2 linked regions of the Nothobranchius furzeri genome follow. The protein of the gene in region 2 interacts with the protein of the main gene of each other region in a biochemical or structural test. Links are inferred from orthologs where the notes say so. Each region holds a gene or a part of one and is shown on either strand. Other genes may lie near its edges.

What was found.
Region 1: the proteins of Na(+)/H(+) exchange regulatory cofactor NHE-RF2 (region 2) and TBC1 domain family member 10A form a complex in vitro, tested with the Homo sapiens proteins (2 studies listed by IntAct, with this or other methods). The link is inferred for Nothobranchius furzeri from reciprocal best matches to the Homo sapiens genes NHERF2 and TBC1D10A.

What each region holds. Positions count from the first base shown.
Region 1 is NC_091746.1:51,452,368-51,456,680, reverse strand, and holds the start of TBC1 domain family member 10A, read left to right. Parts: upstream 1-1,509; 5' UTR 1,510-1,701; coding exon 1,702-1,868; intron 1,869-3,458; coding exon 3,459-3,558; intron 3,559-3,720; coding exon 3,721-3,828; intron 3,829-4,312; coding exon 4,313-4,313.
Region 2 is NC_091752.1:53,773,837-53,777,804, forward strand, and holds the start of Na(+)/H(+) exchange regulatory cofactor NHE-RF2, read right to left. Parts: upstream 2,803-3,968; 5' UTR 2,380-2,802; coding exon 2,155-2,379; intron 1-2,154.

The DNA.
Region 1 (4,313 bases), on a different chromosome or scaffold from region 2:
ATTTAAAGTGGGGTTTTCACGTTTTTACATAGATAGCTTCTTTTACTCCTCTCTCAAATCATCTATCTTCTCTGTCCAGAATGTGGACTTTGTCATCTTCAAAGGTGTGTCCCTTGTCCTTTAGGTGAAGGTGGACTGCAGAGTTTTGACCTGAAGAGGTGGCTCTCCTGTGTTGTGTTATGTTCTTGTGTAATAGTTGTTTAGTTTCTCTAATGTAAACATCTGGACAGTCCTCACTACACTGGACTGCATAAACAACGCCACTGAGCTTCTGTTTGGGTGTTTTGTCTTCTGGACGGACCAGGTTCTGTCTGAGGGTGTTGTTGGGTTTAAAGTTTACCGGGATGTTGTGTTTGGAGAAGATTCTTCTAAGTTTCACTGAGAATCCTGCCACGTATGTGATGATGGTGCCTTTGCCCAAAGGAAGTTGTTGTTAGGTTGGTAGCAGAGCTTTCATGTTTAGTGTTAAGTTCAGTGAGATCATGGAATGGGATCAAGAATTTTCTACTGACAGGAAAAAGATCTCAGCTAACATAGCTGTAGATCACACTGGATAACTCTCTGTGGTGCATTTATTTTACATTTATTTTACTACCTCTTACTAGAGCTGTCTTTAGTAGACGCAAAATATACTTGGATGTACACCTGTGCAATAGCAATAAAGTATCTTGAATCTTGATTTCTGTTAAATGTACTTCCTGAATGAGTGACCTTTTCAGGCTAAAATAACAAATTGACAAATACAGACAGAAGGATGAATTCTTTCTTCTTTTGTAATGCATTGCATCACCATCTGGTATCAGAACAGGTATTGGAAGATAATCAAAAATCAAACAACTTGGACTCGGATCAGGGGCAAAAATGTGGTTGTAACATCTCTAGATATGTCAGCTTTAAAAACTAAAACTATTATTTATGAACTAACATTAACACTAATGATACTAATTGGTATATTTTTATTATGTTGTTTGAACCCAAGGGTCTCATTATCTGAATTTTCTAACTTGTTGGATTGCTCTATAAGGGCCCCTTTTTTTTTTACTTTGAGCACCCGCCCCGTCAAAGGTCTCTGCACGGCCCTGGTTTCCAGTATTTGTGTATTTTTTACCTTTACACGTGTGTTAATTTCGTTTTTTTTCTTTTTCTTTTTTTTCTGCTTTGCTTTGTTAGTTTTATCAATAAAGTTAATTGAGAAGAAATTTCTTTTGATTTTTTTTTACACGTAAAGCAGATGACTTCCGGTAGGTGGCAGAAGAGGGTTGGGTTAAATGAGATTCCAAGGATGTTTTGTTTATTAACCAGTCAGGCAGATTCTCTTCCTTAGCCTGCAGCTAATCTGCATTCCTGCTGACAGAAGAGATTCTCGGTAGAAAGTGTTTGTCGGTCAGCTGACAGCTGTGAGATAGTAGCATGTTACCGTCGGAGTTAGCGTGCAGACACCGAGCTAATTCAACGGTAAAACCAATCGCTCTATTTGAATCTAGCGGGCTAGTCTTTTTGCGTAAGCGAAACATTTATTTCTATAGCGAAGCAAGGACATTTTACCAAAACGTGCCCCCAAGGTGGCTGTTTTAGCATCAATGTGCGAGTAGCTAAGTAATTGTTTCTCATAGCAACTAGCTAGCTGTCACCAGCGGGAGTCTGATGGAGAACTCGTTCTAAAGTTTGAAGACATCTTCTGCTGCTGCCGATGTCGATTAAATGGCAGAAGCCGAGCAGGACGATGGGCTCGAAATCGGTGGCAGCACGGAGAAGTTGACGGATGGAGAGAAAGGAACTTCTCGTGGATCAAACAACTCCTTTACCGGGGACACACAGGTGGACAAGTATGGGTTCTTAGGAGGAGCTCAGCAGAGCGCCACAGAAGAGTAAGGGTGATGTTTCAAATGCAGCTTCTGATTTCTGGTAGATATGGGAAAATGTGAAAAAAATTTCTTAATGGTCATTGTGTGTTGTCAAAGATAATCAGATTTATGTGGTAAATAAAAAAAAACATATGGGAGGATTTCCTGAAGTTACGTGTAAGTGTTGGTTACGGCCGAAAGCAAGTACACTCACCCCTCCCTCACCGGTTTTCCTTTATTCTAGCAGCTAAACTAACACGAAAACTGTCCTCATTTAGTCAAAAGTGTGCTCTTGTTTCAGTTATTCAAAAATTTTATCCTAGTCATGTCCCAATCCTGCCAGGGCCATCTGTCTCCACTAGTGATTTGTTTGAGTTTTATCCTTTTCAAATGGGACAGAGCCCGTTTCCACCCGAACTCGGATAAACCCCAGATTAAACTAGCCTGTGTTTCAAACATCACCAACCCAACAGTAAAACAACTTCCTGTTTACTTTCACTCCAAGAGTTTCCTTATACCTTGGTTAATGTAGATCTATGGTTGCTCCGCATCAGAGTAACTAGCGTGAGATAATCACATGATCCACCAGCATTTGCCTCACCTTAACCACTATATGTTATTGTGGACAGGTTTCAGCTCCAGACTGTCATCGGTGTAAACTGGAACAACACGAGTCCAGGAGTTACACTCACTGATAACACTCCCACCAAGTCTTCCTCATAGTCCGATGTTGAGAATTGGAAGAATGTGTGACTGTTGAGAATGATGTCAAAGATTTAGGGTTTGGTGACTAACCAGTGTTTGATCTAAATGGATCAAAATAATTTCTGTTCAACTTGAGTATGATGGATCAAACTCAGTTTGTGAATTTGACCGTTTATAAAATCAGTGAGACCCCCCACCCCCCCATTGTGGTTCTTCATGAAACATCATGGAGATGATCTTCAGGAATCAAAACTTTTTTTATGCTTTCAATGGAAGAGATCAAACCAGTAGCTGTGTTTTCATTATGATTTAGTTATTCACTTTTTCATGGGTTATAATCTGGAATGTTTGCAGCCCCTGTGCTAAAAGATCAAGGATATCCATTCTTGTAGAGCCTGAAAGGTGGCATTTATGGGATGTTCAGCTGTTTGAAACGAAACCGCAAATCCTCCCGTCAAACCAGCGATCTATATGTAGCGTCTCTGTTCTGCGTTGTTCTTCTGACTTTATTGGCTTTCACCTGTTAAATGTGCTTGTGGTTTAGAGACACCGATGTTGTCCGGAACTATTCTGGTGATCCGATTAGAGCATACTGCTCAGCAGGTTTGTGTTTTGTTCATGTTCGGAAGACATCTCGTATTCTCCTCAGCGCCGTTGGGCGGTGAGGTGTCTTTATAAAGGCTACAGTGAATTAGACTGGGGTAAACGTCCCCCACAGCTTCCTGTTTCCCTTCCGATGGCGAATGTTCAGCTGCTTCGCTTGAGGAAAGTTTCCTGAACGTACAAAGAAGAGACGAGCTGCTTCTCCGCTCCCTCTGAGCAAAAGTGTCTCCTGTCGAACTTTTTAGGAGAGGACGGCGGGACTCTGTTTGACTACTCATACCAGCTTTGTTGTGTTTTCCCTCTCAGGGCGGAGGAGATCCCCTCTGATGTGCTGAGGCAGCGGGAGTTGAAATGGCTGGAGATGTTAAAAAGCTGGGACAAGTGGATGGCCAAAAAACACAAGAAGGTCTGATTTATGTGATGCTTTTACTGATTTGTAATTCCTCCTTAAAGAGGTTCAAGCTGTGGTTTAAAAAGCATGAATTCACACAATCATATCAGATTTGAAGCTCATTTTATTCAGGATTTTATTAAATCCTGCAGTAACTGTGTGTTTGTTGAATAAAAGGTGAAAGAGCGTTGCCAGAAAGGAATTCCTCCATCCCTGCGGGGTCGGGCCTGGCTCTACCTCACTGGAGGGAAAGCAAAAAAGGAGCAAAACAGGAGCAAGTTTGAGGTCAGTTTGAGAATCCTGGTTCCTCTTGAGTCCCAATCATGATGGGTTTACTGTAGTAAATGTTTGTGATGGGACAGCTGTTGCTTTTTCTATCGATATCTGGGAGAACTTAGGTATTCACAACGTACTTCTACACAATAGACGGCTATAGATTAGAAGTTTGACCCTCCCATAACCCAGTCAGATTTGACAAAACTCCTCAGATTAGAAGCGAAGCATCTTCAAGAAACCAAAGACGTCCAGTTGCCTTCATTTGAATCCTTTTGGATCACTTATATAAACTTTTTGCATGTTCAAATATCAAAATAAAAGCTTTAACATTTTGTATTTAAATTACAAACTCAGAGTGACCGATTATAATCAGAAATAATCATTAAAACTGTTTTTTTTTTCAGTCTTCATCACCTTTAAGTTCTAGATCCCAGTTTAATAGATAGAAAATGTGAAAAATTGGTTAAAAAAAAACTAAAATAGTGTCTTATAGG
Region 2 (3,968 bases):
CCACATTACAATTGTAGCGCTGCAGTATTACTCGCAGGAGACACGGCAACCCCACACTCACTGATGGTAAACAGTAGTCCCTCCTTCCTTTGTTTTGAGAGGAGAAAAACTGACAATCCCAGCATCCAGCTAATATATTTCACTATAACCTTCCTTCTAAAATGACAGAAACATTAAACTCTTTTGGGATTTTCTCACTGTAAAATTCTCACTATATTCTTACATGCTGCACCTTTAACAATGTAAGAACTAGATTATGGTTGTTGTTTTAAATGTCCCAGCTGTCAGGCCCTTGTTTAAGTATGAGGTGACAAAACAAACCTGCAACATGATCAAACTTCAGCTCTTTATGGTGCTTTTAGGGCTCAAATCCAGCAGGAGTCAGACAGTTCCAGCTGACGTAACCACTAACAGTGATGTAAAGGTTTCTAAATAAACGTTCACATTAGCTGTTGTTGTGAGATTTGGGAGATTAAAGGTGTTTTAAGTTGGCAGTGAAACGTTTTGGTTTAAATAGTCCCAGCCATTAGCTCATGAATCTGGGAGGATTTAAAATAATAGACTAAAGATGTTCATGGGTATAGCAACAACAGGCTAAAACACAACAGTTTAGACGAAAAAATAATTAAGAGAGGAGCTAGATTGTCTGGTGATCAGAAACTCGGAATTCTGATTTTTTTATATTGATCTGTAAGCGGCGTCAACAATAAAACATCTGACATTTTTCCTGGTCTGTGAACTCACCAGACAACTGCTCATCGATGTTAGTAACTGATGTTACATGTGCAAGGTTTTAGCTCCGGAATGAACGCTTTAAAGTGACAGTGTGTATTTTTTCTGGCCATAGGGGGCAGTAGATACCTAAATCGTTGTAAGAAAGCTGTATTTTTGTGTTGGAATAAGACCTTACCAACGGAAGCCCATTAGGGTCTAAAAGCCCTGGGGAGTGCAAACTTTAGCAAAATAAGCACATCAGACTCTCTTTCATCACTGGCAACAATTGAAGAGGTAAACGTGTAAAACAACATATTTAACAATGACAAAAGTTTTGTAACGGTTTGTTACAAATCAGTAGATGCATTTTGTCCTCATGGGCACCCGTAGAAGGAAACATAGCATCTAATATGGCGTCGCCCAGAGACTTAGACCCGCTCCCATTTATTTTAGACCAGATTTTTATGGTTAGATGTTACGACGCTGCCAATATTGTTCAACAACTGGGCTTCATTTCATTCATTTTCAACTACATTTTGATGGATGTTTCCAGAAATTAATGGTAAAACTACACATTGTCTCTTTAATGTTAGTTAGATGAATCTGAATGGGCCAAACCAGCATCAGCAAGTCTGAGCTGTTACAAGAGTCAGAAATCGGTTTCGGCACTCTAAAACAAAATCAGTGTCCCAAATTCCAACAAAAAACAAACGTGCATAAACTCATGTTGAGTATATGCTTGTGGAGAAAAATTATATCAAACCAATCAAAGGTTTGTCCAATCATATGCCAAAATTTAGTGGATTAAATAGTTGACCCCCACGCCCCACCCCCCTCTCTCTCTCATCTGTTACTGTTTCCCACCATCAGACCACCATAGTTGTGAGAAAACACAACATTTGAGGTCAGGCCTCAATGACAGTTAGTGGATGAGAGGAATGAAGTCGAAAACTGAATCAGATTTTTAACTCAACTGAATTTAAAATGAATTACACAGATAAATGCAAATCTATAAGAACCATTACCCATCAGAAGAGTGATGAAACAAAAGTAAAAACCTCCTGCTGCTCTGTGACCTGACAGATAAGACAGTTTAACTTGGTTTGGGGCAGAGATATTTGATAGTTGCAGATCATTTTGGGCTCAGACAGAACAAAGTCTGCAGCTGAAGCGTCTGAGTGTTTATCAGCCTCAACAATATGCCAATATGCTGAAAGTCTGTAAATTCAATGCGACAGATTAGATTAGTGTGGCGGGGGCGGGTTTTGCGCACTTTGTGTGTGTGTGTGTGTGTGTGTGTGTGTGTGTGTGTGTGTGTGTGTGTGTGTGTGTGTGTGTGTGTGTGTGTGTGTGTGTGTGTGTGTGACCTGTTGATGCACCCTCGCAGGCAGACATGTAACTCGACTCTAATCATAAATATGAAAGCACACATCCACTCGCCTGGTGGTGTGTCTCCTTCTCCACGTTGACGCCGTTCACGGCGACCACCCGGTCCCCGGCGCGCAGCCCCGACGCCTCTGCGGGGGAGTTGGGCTCCACTTGGCGGATGAACTGTCCGCTCTTCCCCTTCTCTCCGTGCAGGTGAAAGCCATACCCGTTCTCCCCTTTATTCATCACACACAGCCGCGGTTTCCGCTCGTTGGCCATTTGCTCTTCTTCTCGCATCGAACCTTCCTGCAGACCCGAGTAGAGTAAAAATGCGGTGAAAATGCGCGAAAAGAAGAGGTGGGAGTTCAGGACAACGGGTGCGGGGCTAAACTTCCAGCGTGCATCCCGACTGGCCTCGTGCGCGCCCTCACATCACAAACACAACTCCAGATCCAACAACGGAAAAGTTTAAATTCCCTAAAAGCTACGAACTCCAGTCAACTGGACCGTGTGTCCGGCTCTGAGGCACGCTGCTCCAAAACGGACCCAAACCACCGGGGGCTCCAGAACCTTCGGACCGGTGCGCTCTGCAGACTGTAAAAGTGAAAATGGTTACTGGTCAAACTCCCTGCGTTTATCCAAAACATTCGTCCGGAGAGCACATCCTTCTGCAGCTTCAGCGCCGATCTTTGCGCACGATGAGCGGCTGGTGAGCAACAGCACCACCTTCCTCTGGAAGAGAAACAAATAGAAAGTGTAAGTGATGCACTGATGCCCCCCGGCGGCAGGAAACAGTCAGTGATCAGGGTTAGTTATGATAAATGATCAACTTTTAAATAAATTTAAAAAAAAAGTTCTTTAAAATATTTCCTGTCTATTTCATTGTTGGTGCCTAATATCAGGCAATGTGGTGACTTTTAACTTCAAAATGATACATCTCACAATAACGGGAAACGTATATTGGCTCGATTAGGGTACAGTTATGGTAACATCTCAGATTTATAACTTTTAATCACATTTGCAACCTTTTGTCTTAGAAATCTGACTTTTAAAGTCATAAATATAATTTTTAATAACTGTCAAGGTTGTAATTATGGTGTTATTTTTAGTCATAGTTATGACTTTGATCTTGTAATTATGATTTCCAAAGTTACAATAATTACTAAACTTCATATTTACAAGTTTGAAAGCAGGAAAGATGATTTTGAAATCACCAAAATGATCCTTCAGATCTTTTAAATTGGAACTCTGAAAAATATTAAGAACAATCTACATCAGTGGTTCGTCCTCCACTGCCTCGACTCGACTGCTTCAGTGGTGGTGCTGCTGATGGCTCGTGTCTCATGCTTATCCTCTACGCCAAGGCAACTCAGTGATCAAGCAGGGATCTAACCCCTGCATCCAGCTTCCACTGGGAAGCACCTCACTCTCACTCTCCAACCAGTCCACTCCATACTTGGAGAGCTTTCTCCAGGGCTCTTCCCGGGGAATTGTTAAGTCCAACAGCAAAACTTGCTTACTGGCCTCAGACACAAGAACAGCGTCTGGTCTGAGGGAGGTGACAGCAGTATGACTGGGGAACTTCGGCTGATCCATCAAGATCTCCCAGTATCTGGCAGAGATCTTTTGACTGGAGCTGCTTACTCCCCAGCTCTGGTGAAGGTTGTAGTTTGGTTAGAATGGCAGGCAGGTAAACAGAGAATAGTAAAATTTGATTGTGTCTAGGCAAATAAGTTACTGATTAGTTCCAGGAGGGTAAATTAAAAGTGGGTTTCTATTGTATTAAAACAACTCAGATCTCATCATTGTTCTAGCAGTTCATCTAAAGGCTTTTAAACACCATTTGAACTTTGAAACTGCAGAAATTTTTACTTTACATGAAAATT